Linked DNA regions of Styela clava. The protein of the gene in region 1 binds, or shares a complex with, the protein of each later gene. Links are inferred from orthologs where the notes say so. Each region holds a gene or a part of one and is shown in the gene's direction. Other genes may lie near its edges.

The links. The genes of interacting proteins can lie anywhere in the genome.
Region 2: the proteins of methylcrotonoyl-CoA carboxylase subunit alpha, mitochondrial-like (region 1) and methylcrotonoyl-CoA carboxylase beta chain, mitochondrial-like are in contact, whole or in part, in a cryo-EM structure (PDB 8JXM), measured with the Homo sapiens proteins. The link is inferred for Styela clava from reciprocal best matches to the Homo sapiens genes MCCC1 and MCCC2. Residues at the interface, in NP_064551.3 of Homo sapiens: Glu519, Phe526, His531, Asp532, Phe534, Ser535, Pro536, Phe537, Ser538, Ser539, Ser540, Ser541, Gly542, Arg543, Arg544, Leu545, Asn546, Ile547, Tyr549, Thr550, Arg551, Tyr568, Tyr636, Leu637, Ser641, Glu644; in NP_071415.1 of Homo sapiens: Leu56, His57, Val60, Glu61, Lys64, Asp88, Ile91, Pro93, Gly94, Ser95, Pro96, Phe97, Leu98, Glu99, Gln102, Ile123, Gly124, Arg125, Gly128, Glu130, Arg234, Trp276, Leu278, His281, His282, His285, Lys298, Lys299, Leu300, Ile304.

What each region holds. Positions count from the first base shown.
Region 1 is NC_135252.1:3,471,631-3,479,477, forward strand, and holds the start of methylcrotonoyl-CoA carboxylase subunit alpha, mitochondrial-like, read left to right. Parts: upstream 1-4,823; 5' UTR 4,824-4,934; coding exon 4,935-5,137; intron 5,138-5,497; coding exon 5,498-5,633; intron 5,634-6,010; coding exon 6,011-6,203; intron 6,204-6,636; coding exon 6,637-6,875; intron 6,876-7,027; coding exon 7,028-7,273; intron 7,274-7,600; coding exon 7,601-7,693; intron 7,694-7,847. Other genes in the region: GRIP and coiled-coil domain-containing protein 1-like, read left to right, coding at 157-339, 738-937, 1,010-1,139, 1,633-1,769, 2,165-2,230, 2,541-2,700.
Region 2 is NC_135263.1:886,041-893,721, forward strand, and holds methylcrotonoyl-CoA carboxylase beta chain, mitochondrial-like, read left to right. Parts: upstream 1-4,681; 5' UTR 4,682-4,715; coding exon 4,716-6,422; 3' UTR 6,423-7,538; downstream 7,539-7,681. UniProt on the Homo sapiens protein: Carboxyltransferase subunit of the 3-methylcrotonyl-CoA carboxylase, an enzyme that catalyzes the conversion of 3-methylcrotonyl-CoA to 3-methylglutaconyl-CoA, a critical step for leucine and isovaleric acid catabolism.

The sequences.
Region 1 (7,847 bases):
ACCTAACCCTAACCTGGTACACATACTATATTCTGGTGTCCGCCATCTTGGTTCACATACTACATGAGCGCCTAATTTTGTCTATATATGCATTGTTCCTTGCTTGCGATTTTCTGAAGCATAAGTTAAGTGTGACGTTTCCATTTCGCATATCAGGTACGAGCCCAGAATGTCTTGAAAGCAAAGCGGGAAACTGGCATTACCAGTGGAGAGAATGTAACAAATATGTTCACACAACGACAGTTTCAAGAATTAAAAAATGAATTAGAAGAAGTTAGAGAGAGGCATTTTCATCTCCGATCACATTGCGATGGCTTGGAAGAGCAACAAAATAAATTGGTGAGGAATTATTTGAAATTGACAGTCTTTTTCATATTTAAATGCAAAGTTGTGTTACATAAATCTAGGTCGTACATTCAAAATAAATAATTTGGCAATCAATACCATACTTGTTAAACATCCGATTTAACGCCGGAGAACAAATCGCCCAATGAAGCAAATTAGCTACGTCTTTTGGTAACGAAGCAGATGCACTGAGTGCCGACGAAGAAGTAACAAAACAACCATAAATTCATTAAGCAGTCAAGTAGTTGAATGCTCAAAAAATTTGGTTATTGATTGCCACTCCTCTGCCGGATGCACAATTTTTCCTTATGGGCCGCATTTGGCCCGCGGACCACAGTTTGCACTCCTTTGGTTTAAAATATTGAAATTAGATGTCATTTATATCAATCTAGATAAAAGAGCAAGGTGAAGAATTGTTACGTTGTCATCTTTCCCATCAAAATGAATTGAAATTGGAAAAAGAAAATTATTCTGCAAGAGTACTCGATTTAGAGCAAGAAATGAGGTCACAGAGGGAAAGAACAGTTATGTTATTGGCAGAAAAAGACAAGGAAATTCAAAGTCTACAAGCCTATTCTACTGCTTGCCATAGGTGGGTGCAGATTACATCTAAAGTAACATGGGTTTCTCTCACTTTTGTCACTGTTCATATTTGGATGTTTAGAGAGTATCAGTCGGAATATGGCGGAATTGGTGAACCCAATCAAGAAACATCTACTAGTAGTGACAATACTCACTATGGACATGATAAATTAAAAGAAACACAAGATTCCGTCTTCGAAATAGTGAATCAGGTTAAAAGTATAATGGTACATTAAATTATAAATGACGTTAATACTCATTTCTGCCATCGTGGTTTGATGTTTACGTTTGGTTGACAAGCCAAAGCTTTTTGTGACACTATACTATGTCATCTAATAAGATTCAATTAAGAATCTTACTATATTCATTTTGTATCATATTTTTCAATATCAATCACCTGGCCAATTTTTTTTTTTATTCGATTAGGAAATAGAGAAAATGGACTCAGATTGATATGTAATTGATTAGTGATGATCTTTTGTAGGAAAAATTGATATTGATATGCAACAAGGTTATATATCTTTTTAATAGATTTGGTCCAATGGGGGCCCACTTTAGGATCAATAGTTTTTTTAGTGAAAGAATAAATATCCTGAAGAAGATCAGTTATTATTCATTTCATTTTTGTGCAAATATTGTAACATTCCCCTTGTTCAACAGAGAAAAAAATGTTTCGACATATATATAACATGATATTATTTCTAGGGCTCCATGCATGACACAACAATGATCCATTATGCTGAGCAGATGGCAAGAAAGGATGTTTTGATAAATGGTCTTAGACGACATAAAAAACAATTAGAGTTACAAATAAGGCAATTGCAGGATGCCATCATGACTAAGTATGCAATTAACTTGCCACCTTTGTAAATTGTAATTTCAATCATTCTATGTGTATTTTTCGAATCACATGATTACTCTTGAATAGTGTGTATTTCTTCATTAAGTCAGCTTTCTAATAATAGTATTGTTGATAAATTCTCAGGGTGTTAGTATCACACTTACTACCCTATTATATTTACAGTCTATTGGGTTCATGCTTTACTCCTTGTATGTACTTTAATGGATGTTAGCATTTTTACCTAATGTTAGGATACTAGCATGTACAAAGTTTTTACATGAGTTAGAATTTTATGAACCTGTCAACTTCAGTAGTGCAAATGAGAAAAATACAAAGTAGTCTAAATAGTAATGAAGCTAGCCGGTTTCATTTTAATCTATGATTATTAATATTCAGAGATGAGAAGAACTCAAGAGGAATTGCAGAACTTCAGGAGAAAATTGCGAATTTTGATAGAAGCAAGTATGACAAATATTAACTAAGATTTGAACATTACAGTCCTATGAAATAAATAATAAATATGTATGCCGTGCCGGAAATCATTTTTTTTTCATCAGCTAATTGATTGACCAATTTATTTTGTAGTTTTAATGATTTTTTCTCCCAATGTTTTTTTCTTTCGTACCTTACGCACCACCATGTGGCATTCTATCAGATTGTTTTGGCATATTTTCTAAAAACCAATTCTTATGGACCCAACGCGACTTGATTTAAAACATTTAGAATAGATTATTGATACCAGCAAATTTTATCTTTTGAGCTAATTTTACAGGTCCAGAGAAAATGCGAATCTGGAGTACCTTAAGAATGTCATGTACCAATACCTGACAACAAACCGGAACCAGTCAGCAAAATCGCGAATGCTAGGAGCCGTCACTACAATACTGCAATTCAGTCCAGACGAAATCAAAAACGTCCGCAAGAAATTTTGAAAAAAAAAACTTTTATGGCAGTTTTCTCATTTCTACAAAATTTTGTGTTTCAACATGTTCGGGAATCTTTCAATCATGTCTGATGATCATATATATCGATGTTCAAAGTCTGCATATCAAATATAAGGACTGAAATTATTATGGAAACTTATCTTGTGCAATAAATATCCTATATTTTATCTGTGTGTTGTCTATCTGTCGCGATTAAATTTTGTTTTCATATTTGGCAGTGAAGGTGACAAACTGGAAAAATACACGCAATTTGCTTCAAGGGTAGATAGTTTCAATAGATTGTTTGTTGCCCAATCTTTTTTCTAGGAATATTGTTGAATTAGGTTATTGACAAGGCAGAAAAATACTGAAATTGGTAGAAAAGAGCTGAAATTGTTTTTGAACAAAGTTTTAAACGTGTTTGCCTGAAATGGGTGCAAATCATAGTGCTTTTTGTGTTATAACCTGGCTTTTTTGATCACTGGGATCTGGCAAACATGGATTTCGTAGTGAGACTGTAGTTTCATTTGGATATCTATTATTATTACAGTAAGACTTTATTTAACAACTTCATGATGCCTGAACAAATGTTATTCAGTAACTTTTCCTGGGACTTCAATATCAGTCTAGCCTTTTCCAGGAAAAAGAATTGTAAATCTGACGTGTTTAAATATACCTGTGGGCATATGTTAATAAGGGCATTGGAAAATTATAAATTGATATATTTTAAAGTGAATAATGATAAAATCCTTCAATATTGTGATAATGTATGTGCAGTTACATGTGAAATACTGCTGATATTTTCAATAATTATGTTTACAGAGACTCTCAATACCTTATTTAGTCAATTCTAATGGATTAAGGTTTTTTGTCTAATTTTCAGCAAAATGATAAACAACCATCAATATAGATAAAATTGTTACCCGAGAAGTTCAATCTTGAATTTGGGAAGGTCACAAATTCGGGACTACTTCGAAGACATTATCGCTTCGAGCTACCTGTACCATGTTTCTGTGATCAACAACTCACCAGATTCAAATTGATTCTATTTATAGAACTACCGTTTTCTGTTGATACTAATTTTGCTTTTTTCTCATTGTGTACTCGAAAACGTTATATTAAATGTTACTCTGGATAATAACTTTTCAGTTATGATCATGCATGAAATAGCCAATCATTTTCCACCGATCATTCTATGAGAGACACATTTTTAACCCAAAATGAAAGCGAGAGAAATATAGGCGATCGCGATTTTAGAAGGGACATAGCCATTTCATTGGGGACAGCGGTTATAGCCATTTTAGTAGGAACCTGGAACATGTCGGGATCTCGATTTTGGAGAGGACATATCCATTTTAGTAGGAACATATCGGGGATCGCGATTTTAGAAGAGACATACCGGTAGCCATTCCATTAGGGACATTCGGTACGGTACCCGTACCGGAAATCGTTATTATAGTGGGGGCTTAGAACCTGGAACATGTCGGGATCTCGATTTTGGAGAGGACATATCCATTTTAGTAGGAACATATCGGGGATCGCGATTTTAGAAGAGACATACCGGTAGCCATTCCATTAGGGACATACGGTACCGGTAGCCTACCCGTACCGGAAATCGTTATTATAGTGGGGACTTAGCCATTTTAGTAGAAAAATATCGGGATCATGGAAGTCGAAACATAGTCTAGCTATTTTAGTAGGGAAATATCGGGATTTTAGAAAGGACATAGACTACAGACATACCGTAGCTGCATAGCGGACATCGTCATTTTAGTGAGGACATAGCCATTTTAGTATGGGCATAACCATTTTAGTAGGAACACATCGTGATTTTAGACGGGACATTGCCTTTTTAGTATGGACATATCGAGATTTTAGAAAGGACACAGTCTACCGTAATCATTGTAGTGAGGACATATCGGTACCGGTACGTGCATGGACTTCGCTGGCTTCATGAAAGTTCAGAAGTTTCTGTGTTAGGAAGAAGGCATTGTTTATTTAGCATCGCAGCAATGAATTTTCTGCAAACAACGGGATTTCACTTACGCACTTTGGTTGCACTTAGCCAGTCGGTACCGTGCATACCGGTACAGACATACGGTAATACTGTACGATACTAGAGTAAATTAAATACCGGTATTTCCTGATTTCTAGGTGTTATTTTCTATTACAGTATTATAATGTGTTTTTACACAAATATCTGAATACAATCTGCAGTACTGTGGGATGAAAGACACCTGACCATGCATCGATTTCGTGTTCGTCTAAAAAACTTTACTACCAACATCCATCGTGGTGCTTATCAGAATAAACATGGGTCTTTATGGTACTCGAGCAGTTCGAAAAATGTGCAACTGGAGAATGAAATGTCGACTCGAAATATAAGAAAACTAGTAATAGCTAATAGGGGTGAAATAGCATGTAGAGTTATGAAGACCGCAAAAAGGTAAGATAAATCAGAATGCATGGTGTCATCTTCTATATGTCTTATTATTAATGGTTAGTACAATTTACATCTACACCTGAGTACTAACAGGACTGCTAGCATTATTATCAAAGATGAAAGGTAATCTGTGTCTCAATTACGAAATTTGCCAAAGATTTGATACATTTGTTTGTTTCCTTGCTTTGATTCTATTTGAATGCAATATCACATCGTCATACCTAAAATTTACTTATTTGTTCATTATATGGACTGAGTGCAATACACCTTCAGCATAACATTTATATTATATTTTTTACAATATTGTATCAGGAATTGTTTGGAGATTTTGATTTGATGAAGCTTAGTTTCTATTTATTTTAGAATGGGAATTTCAACTGTAGCAGTTTACAGTGAGCCTGACAAACATCAACTACATGTTGAAGTGGCAGATGAAGCATATTGTATTGGACCTGCAGCCTCGCAGCTTAGCTATCTAAATACGGAAAATATATTTAATGTAAATTATTTTATTATTTGATATGTTTAATTCAATTCTATTGAAAGTGTATGGTATAGAATATATTAAATTCCTTATGATTTTACCTTTTCTGCACCACACAAGAACAGATGAATTTCTCTATAAAAAATTAATTCATATGAATTGTTTTTAGTTGTGCAACATATCTCAATTTTCACATACATCAATGGCAATGACTCTTTAATTTTGTAGATTAGAATAAAGTGTGAAATGGGGTTTGTATCATTTATATATACCGGACTTTTAGTACAATGCAATTTTGAGGATATGGATAAATGTGATTATCAAGCCAATGCAAACCCCTATTGTTGAGGTTATTTATTATTGGTAGTCTTTTAATATTAATATCTTTTCAGGTGATTCGCACAAGTGGCGCTGAGGCTGTTCATCCTGGTTATGGGTTTCTTTCAGAAAATGCTGAATTTGCTGATGCTTGTGAAAGTAAAGGTGTAATATTTGTTGGACCACCTTCATCTGCAATTAGGGACATGGGTATAAAAAGCACATCTAAGAAGATTATGTCATCTGCAGGAGTACCCATTATTGAAGGTATTTTTATTGCAATGAAATATGGAAATAATGTTCACTGATATACGTTTGTACAGGATGGACCTAGTCTTCATAACATTTCAGTCTCCTACATATCTTGTTTGTAAACGACCTAGCTAGAAGAATCTGAAAACTTATTGTATAAAGCAAATGAACTATATTTTTAATCAAGATATTTATTTTGAAAAATGAATACCCTAATTTTTTTTTTTAAATGGTAATCTGAGTCTGACATGTTTACAAGATCTTTCCGTTCTTTCATCAATTACTTCTTCCCAATATACGATTGATTATTCAACTAAATTAAACACAAAATCTCATTCAGGTATTGTAGAGTGTTCAGCTTTGTAACTAATTTCTATGCTAACATTTTTACCTTGATAACTTCCTCAGATGCAAATTTTTATTGGTATTTCATTTATTATGTATTAAGGTTATCATGGAGAAAACCAAGATGATTCTTTTTTACTGAAAAAAGCACAAGAAATTGGATTTCCTGTCATGATCAAGGCAGTTAGAGGCGGAGGTGGTAAGGGAATGAGAATTGCAGAAACAGAAAGTGAATTTCAGGAACAACTTGAGTCAGCAAGACGTGAATCCAAAAAATCTTTCAATGATGATATAGTTTTGATTGAAAAATTTGTAGAAAGACCAAGACATGTTGAAGTTCAGGTATTGCATTGTCAATGTTAACACAGTACCAAGTTCAATACTATCAAATCTATAGTAGATTACCAAAACCACAATATTGCTAGAATGTTTGTGCTGCGAATGATCTTCATGATCATGGTTTTGTTATATATTGTGTTATATATTATCAACAGGTATTCGGGGATAGTCATGGAAATGCTGTTTATTTGTTTGAAAGAGACTGCAGTGTTCAAAGGCGGCATCAAAAAATTATAGAAGAGGCTCCTGCTCCTAATATATTAGAAAAGACTCAAAAACGAATGGGTGAGGCAGCAGTGCGTGCTGCTCTGGCTGTTGGATATGTTGGAGCAGGAACGGTGGAATTTGTTATGGACCCTAATGAAAATTTTTTTTTTATGGAGATGAATACCAGATTACAGGTTGGTATAGTTTCAATGTTTAGTATTGCAAACTTCCTTTTAATGGGAATAGCATGGAAATCATTTCATTTTTGTGTAATTGGAATCGTTTTGGGATACACAATGACTTGAGAGAAAACTGGGCAGGACCAATTTGACTTATTGTTTTTTTTTAAGTATCTTATCCAGGTGTTCTCACTAATTTTATGAACATCGCAAATTTTAACAAATCCATTTACATGACATGTTTAATGAGCCAATTGAGAAAGCAATTGGACAGAATGTAACATACATTTTCAGAGTAGTAATTTTTTATTAGTTTGCCTGAGTGTTTTTCTTCCTATTCAGGTTGAACATCCTGTGACGGAAATGATATCTTCAACTGACTTAGTAGAATGGCAACTTCGAGTTGCTCAAGGTGAAAAAATCCCGATGAATCAGGTATAATAGTCGTTTAAACTTAGAATAATCCACAATTAGTTTTTTTTTCCTTCCAGTGGAAAACCCAAGAGATCATTTTAATATGCATTAGTAGCACGTTTCTCAACCAGAAAAATTTGCTTTGTAGAAGGAATTTTTGTATTTTCCATGGTAT
Region 2 (7,681 bases), on another chromosome or scaffold:
AATTTCTCGTAAACACAAATTACCTTCGCTTTGTTAAAAACGTGTACGATAACCGGTTGTCATTAGCAGGCAACCGTAACGTTCGACTCATCATGCTTTGTGACGCATGAATAGAGTATTAACCCATTTATGACAAAACAAATCCATCTAGTCAGTATTTGATTTTGAATGTGATCATGATTTTTGACAAGTATGCTCAGATTAAAGTCCCGAGTCTTCAGCAACAACAGATAATTCAGAGAATGGTTCCCAGCGACAACTGGCGTGTTAACATTTACGTAATTTAAAAAATTATCAGCACCGCAAATTATAACCGCCGCAGTGACCCCTCTTCCAAGGGTGCACCCCCTAACCTCCCCCTCCCCTATAATTTTAACCCGGCCCCTTTCCCCTAATAAAGTGCTGTGAATCCGCATTTTAATTCTTAACGTGAATAAAATTGTATTTGAATATCTAGAAAGTGGCGTATTTACCAGTCCAGGTAAGTCAAATATCAAACACAATTTTATAAGTTACAAATAGTCTTATTGCCAGTAACACAATTTCTACAACATCCTGAATTTGGAAACACCGCCCTTAACATTAAAAAATCTGGGAATTATACTGAAAGGTAGTCATCTCTGAGAAATCGGGCGATCTAAGATAGGCTACAAAAGGTATAGAACGAACTGACATCGGCAAACTAAGGCCACAACCAAACCAAAATCAAATTTTGATGTTTTAGCTAAAAAATAGCCCAAAGAATTTGGTGAGATTGCGATTAAATTTAGTTTTGGCACGAGGAGTATTGTTTTTCCCGTTTGCTTTTGTAACACTGTAAATTATGTTCCTAAAATGTAACTTTTTACGTCACACTTACATGGCCCGCCGGTCTAGGTGGGTAAAATTTGCCCACCCATGGATAAAAGAAGGTACATGAACTTTATAGCTTTGCTACAAAAATACCAGCAGATAGACTGGTCAATGCAGACTTGAAGAAACATTTCTAGTCAACTTCGTGAGGGAACAGCGTTACGAATAAAAGCTCCGCAAAATAAAAGAAAAAGGAATTCCTTGATCAGAGCGAAAATTTTGGCGCTTCAGAAGTATGTGTACCAATATGGAGGTAACTAATTTTAGTTGCCTACTTTACATCAAGTTGTGTAAACGGACTGAAACCACCGGCAGGGGGTATATTCACTTGGCTAACACATACAGTCCCCGAACTCGTAATAGAACTAAAATAAGATAAATCGGAATACAATTATGACCTAACACTTATGACCTAACCTTGTACACACACGACGGTAGTACAGAATATTTTACTATTCCAAGTAGATATAAGTCTGCCGCATGAATCACATTGCAATCTTTAACAGCTGTGTAGCGGGTTAATACATGACATTCAGACTAATACACATCAGCCTATGGAAGGCATATAAATGGCCCCTCTTCGGCTTGGCAAACGTAATCTAATTTTTAGGGCTTGTCAAACCCACTAGACACGTATATATTATTGTTAAAAAGGTGTGTTGCAGTTAACTGTAATAGCCTAAATATGTCTACCCAACCCTACCCTACGATTTGAATATTTTTGTTAGGGTTATTTAGGTTTAAATTCTGCTATCTAAACATATTTATGTGATGATGAGGTGTGTTTCTATTGCTTGTTAGTACCCAATTAACACAATACTGTTATCACAACAATTACTTAACCCTGGTATCTTTACCGGCCTATATAAGCGAAACCCATAATTGTATATCGCACCCTAAATGCGTCTACGTAATTCAACCATATGATTAGATATCGATATTAGGCAGTGATGGGATTGAAAATGAAACGAAAGTTTCTCGTCTGTATTGACCCACTAACAAAAGCCTTTCTTTAAAAAACGTGCAGATTGTTTCTCAAAGACTGGGTTCGCATTTTAAATTTTTGTCGTGGTCTCCACTTTACCCAGACACGCCACTGTTGTTTGTACCTAGCACAATAACACTGGGGGTATAATGATAAAATAATAATGGTGATTAAAGGTGACCCATAATTCTGTATCACACCGAAAATATTTCACGAAAACCTACCTCAATGCTTGGATATTGTTGTTATTTGCATTCTATTCGATTGCTTTCGCGGTTAAGTTGTATTTTTGTGCAATTGAGTACGAGAGAGCTCGGCTGTGAAAATACTTTGGAAATTGTTTAAAATTAGTGAAAAAGGCTTAGGCCGTGAATTCCGCGCTACCATAGTCTCTAAATAAGAGCTCAAATCTTCGCCATAAACCAGATATAGAAATACTGCGGGCCGCACCAAGGCATTTTGTTCTCTTCCTGCTCGTGGAAAAATTTAGATTGATTTTAAACATTCGTTCAAAATGCAGTAATAAAAATTAGTGTAAAAATAGCTGTGATAGACTAGCCTGAAATTCTTTACCGGTTCTTTTAAAAAACAGATTGTTGTATGCGATGAATCATAATGATGTTTTGAAACACATACCCCATTTTAGAGGCGCCAACTCGCAAAAGCACTCTTAAAATAGCTCTGAAAATTTTGCAATGGTAAAGTATAGGGAGAATTGTCCGAGGGTCAAAGGTCGGGGAAAGATCCATGGTGTCTGACACTGTTGAACCGGCAATGGGAAAACATATTGGTATTATTTTTACAATTCAAAAGTTTGGATGCAATTAAATTAAAGCTACTAGGAAGACAGTGTGATCACTGAATTATCTGATTTATATTTAAGTTTCCTGAACACAACTGAAAACTAACGAATAGAGTTCAAAATCGCGAAAACGAGGTAATGTTTACAACCACGCTTGAAAATCTGTCTGAGTGAGAAAAGTGTCTGAGCGAATGCGAAAAGGGGGCATTGTTACGTCACTTTTTGCATCTTGCTGATTGGCCAATGTCACGAAGTGAACAAGGAAGTCAATGCTCGGGGAAAGGTCCATTAAATTCGATACTATCCAAGAAAATGGAAATAGTAACTGTGATATCACATCATTCTTATCCCGAACCCCAACTAAATACTAATTCGGAATTTCAGCAGAGAGTGCATTTCTTAAATTTAACATTTTTGCATTAGTGGCGGGCGCTTCGTACAAGAGACCCATTTCCCCCAACTTCAATATTAATTAATTTCAACTTGCCTTGAAACCAAAGCCTGTACTATTGAGCTGTTCAACAAGACGAAAGTGATTATTTAAGGTGATTTAAATTTCTTGCATCCAGTAATCCTCTCGCATGAAATTTACCCCGCATGAGCTCCGAACCCCCGCAAGGAAATCAGATGGCGACGGCGAGCGTATTCCCAACGATTAGCACGATGTGCCCAGGGGCGTAGCCATGGTTCTGCGGGTCGAAACCTCCTGCTTTGGAATGTGTAAAAAACGACGACTAATAGGCGTGACCTTCCACGCGCCGAATAAGCGCGTAAAACTTTATGGCTTCGTCTCCGGATGCCGTCAAGTAAAAGCACCATGATAATGATATGTGATCGGATAACGCGATTTTTGAACTTCCCCCTGTCCTTTGACCCCCGTGAAATTCTTCCTATACTTTAACAGTGAAAATTTTCGGTGCTTATTTAAGAGTGGTTTTGTCAGTTGACCGGGGTATTTTTGTTTCAAACCATCATTCTGACTCATAGCATTCAACAATTTGTTTTTTAAAAGTACCGGTAAAGAATTTTAGCCTAGTCTATAACAGCTATTTCTACACTAGGATAGGATATTTTTGATTACTGCAATTAAACTGAAACTCCTAAGAAGACAAAGTGATCATTGAATTATTTGATATATTTAAATATCTGAAACACAACCAGACTTGCAGTTTTTTTCCTCTCCCCCGGGATAAATATGTAAAATCCAACCCTATTCTAAGGCTGTATTTTAGCTGATAATCAAGATGGTAACGGTACCTAACTTTGAATGTTGGTAAGTACCGGTACCGGTTATTCGGAAAATGCAAGATGCAATTACATAACTAGTAAACCTAATAATGACGTTTAATACTGTACCTAATATGTAGTACGGTGTTACTGTATTAAAAGGAGTCGCAAGAGTTTGATCCCTACATACTGACATATGCTTGGCACTTCAAATAAAGAAGAAAATGGGAATTATCACTAATAAAAGACGATGAAATAAAAATTATTAGTCATATCATACTAGCAACCACTTCAATACGAGAGAGCCTTGGTCTCCATATCGACTCGAATCAAATGCGCAATAAAGTAAAAGAAAGCGCAATCTAGAACTGTCTCAATTGAAGTCCCCCAAAAAATTATACAATTTACCAAAGGAAAAAATATTACCATAGCATTCGAGAGTTTTTAGAGAAAAAAAAACGCACTTTTGGTCATTCATGTCAGCATGTGACGATGGATGCACGTCACGATTGATTTATTATAGAGACTAGCATATTTTGTGACAGACCCCCTCATTTCAGAGAAAAATACCTCTAGTGAAACCACTGTCAGAATATCGAGAATCTTGAAATTTAAGAATTTCGCCTTACTGCTGTACTGCATGGGCTGGTTAGTTACTGGACCATAGGTTGCTTTATGATTAACAAGTCATGAAATCGTCTTTCCTGTTCCTAAATAAATTTGAAAAGCTTATTCTGTTATTCAGAGTTTACTCACTGTTCATGCTTTCTTATGTGTGCTTTTTTCATCTTCAATTTTTTCTGTATTGCAGTTTTGTAATCTAGGTGTTGTGATACGAATTACAGCGTTATGGCATTGTGCCAAAGAGTTTTGAAAAAATGTTTCAGTTTGCTGCACAGGAATTTGGGTCATAGTAATGGTTTATATACAAGATACCATTCAGCTATGTTACCAGTTGGGTCAGATCCGGACGTAAAATCGGAAATATTTCTCGAGAATGAAGCGAGTATGAAAAAACTTGTTACAGAATTGAAGGAAAACATTGAAAATATTTCACACGGTGGTGATGAGAATGCTCGCAACCGACATACATCGCGAGGAAAATTACTAGTACGAGAACGAATCCAAGAATTGTTGGACCCTGGATCTCCATTTTTAGAATTTTCACAACTTGCTGGGTATGATTTATATGGAAAAGAAAAAGTCCCGGCGGGGGGGATTATAACTGGAATTGGGCGAATAATGGGGCAGGAATGTATGGTCATCGCAAACGATGCGACAGTAAAAGGAGGAGCATATTATCCTATCACAGTACAGAAGCATGTGAGGGCTCAAACAATTGCTAAAGAAAACAATTTAACTTGTGTATATCTGGTTGACTCAGGCGGTGCAAACTTGCCTCGACAAGCAGATGTTTTTCCAGATCGTGATCATTTCGGACGAATATTTTTTAATCAGGCTTCCATGTCAGCGCAAGGAATTCCTCAGATTGCTGTCGTAATGGGTTCGTGCACAGCAGGTGGCGCTTATGTGCCCGCGATGTCAGATGAAAGCGTGATTGTAAAAAAACAAGGGACAATTTTTCTTGGAGGTCCTCCATTGGTCTACGCAGCGACAGGTGAAAAAGTGTCACCAGAAGATCTAGGTGGCGCTGATTTGCATTGCAAGCATTCAGGCGTGACTGATCATTATGCGTTGGATGACGCACACGCGTTACATATTGCACGAGGAATCGTCGAAAATTTAAATCGAGAGAAAGATGTTACAACGACTTTAAAAGCACCGGAAGATCCGTTATACGACCCTGAAGAGCTTTACGGAATCGTTGGAAGCAATTTGAAACGGACTTTCGATGTACGAGAGGTCATTGCCAGGATCGTTGACGGCAGTAAATTTCACGAATTTAAGAAATTATACGGGGATACATTAGTTTGTGGATTTTCTCGTATTTTCGGTGTTCCTGTTGGGATTATTGGAAACAACGGTGTTTTGTTTTCTGAATCAGCACTAAAGGGAACACATTTTATCGAGTTGTGTTGTCAACGTAAAATTCCGCTTTTATTTCTTCAAAATATAACCGGATTTATGGTTGGTCGAGAGGCAGAGGAGGGCGGCATTGCAAAGGACGGAGCAAAAATGGTGACAGCAGTTGCATGCGCTCAAGTTCCGAAAATCACTGTCATAATTGGGGGATCATATGGTGCTGGCAACTATGGAATGTGTGGACGGGCTTACGGTCCTAGGTTCTTATACATGTGGCCGAACGCACGAATTTCTGTGATGGGGGGAGAGCAAGCCGCAACGGTTTTAGCAACAATAACAAAAGATCAAAGAGAACGTGAAGGAAAAACTTTTTCAGCAGAGGAGGAAAAAGCATTGAAAGACCCGATTATATCTCGTTTTGAAAAGGAAGGGAATCCATATTTTTCGAGCGCTCGACTTTGGGATGATGGTGTTATTGATCCGACTGATACAAGAATGGTCGTTGGACTGAGTCTACATGCAACTCTGAACGCTCAGATACCAAATACGAAATTCGGAGTTTTTAGGATGTAATAGAAGCAACGTTGGTATTTTAGAATCTCAAAATTTTTAATTTCACTTCAAAAAGATTGATTTCACTTAAAACTTTTATTATTCTCCTACTTTTTCTCTGAGAAAGCCCAATTTCACCCTAATAGAAATTCCTCTAAACATGGACATTTTGGCCATGTTCATAACACGATGTATGTGCTTTTAGTTGGCGTGGCACAACCATTTTTGCATGTGTTATTCCTAACCCCCACCTGACTATGTCAAAAATTGCGTCACTATGATGTATAATACTATATAGTTTCAATATCTCTTGAAATTTTAATGGTTTCTTGTAACTTTGTTCAAAGTTGGTCTCTTTTACCTTGCCTTAGGAAATTTGCCTCTAGGGGAATCAATTATCCCTCGCCATGCATGTTACTTTGATTAATCATGCCCAAATTCCACACCTTATAGTTGGTTCATGTTTGGCAACACTTGTTATTTTTATTCTTGCACTTACAAGGATTATAACATAAATTTTTTTGTGTCTGGTTTACCACCATAAACGAAACAAAAACAGTCAGTTTATGCAGCTGGGTAAATTGAATTAGACAAAATTTTAACTTTGAGAATACGTGTGCAACGTAACTCTTACTAGACAGGCCTGGTCTTGCCAAAATCATATGAATGGACGTTTCTCCAGAGCATAGATTTCCTTGTTTATTTCCGAACCATGACCAATCAGCAATAAGTCAACGATGATGTGACAATGGCAATTTGTGCAGCCGCTTCGAGCATGGTTGTAAACATTGCATCGTTTTTGTGCTTGTCAATTTCCAGTTTCAAAAAATAGGCTGTAAATCAAATTATATAATTCTTATTCTGCCCTCCAAAAACCTTGCAAATACAGTGAAAAACTGTGCCATTATTGTATTTCCTAGTAGGTGACATACAATGTTTCATAATTCAAACTATTTATTTTTCTTATAACTTGAACAATAAATGTTTTTCTGATTTTGGAATCGTTCTATGGATCATGTGCTTTACACTTTAATATTTGTTCATTAAATAATTGAGTGAATATTTAGTAAAATACTTGTAATGTTTTATTTATTTCTTACAAATATTCGAAGCTTTATTAAAAGTAGTAAATGTGAATTCTGTTTTATTTTCGGCAGTTTGCTTGTGTGGCAGCAGCATGAAGATTTGAAATTGGGATATAATGGTAGTGCTGAGTTTCTCAAGCTTTTTCGGGGTGCACAAAAGGGCATTGCTATTTATTTAAATAGACATCATCAATC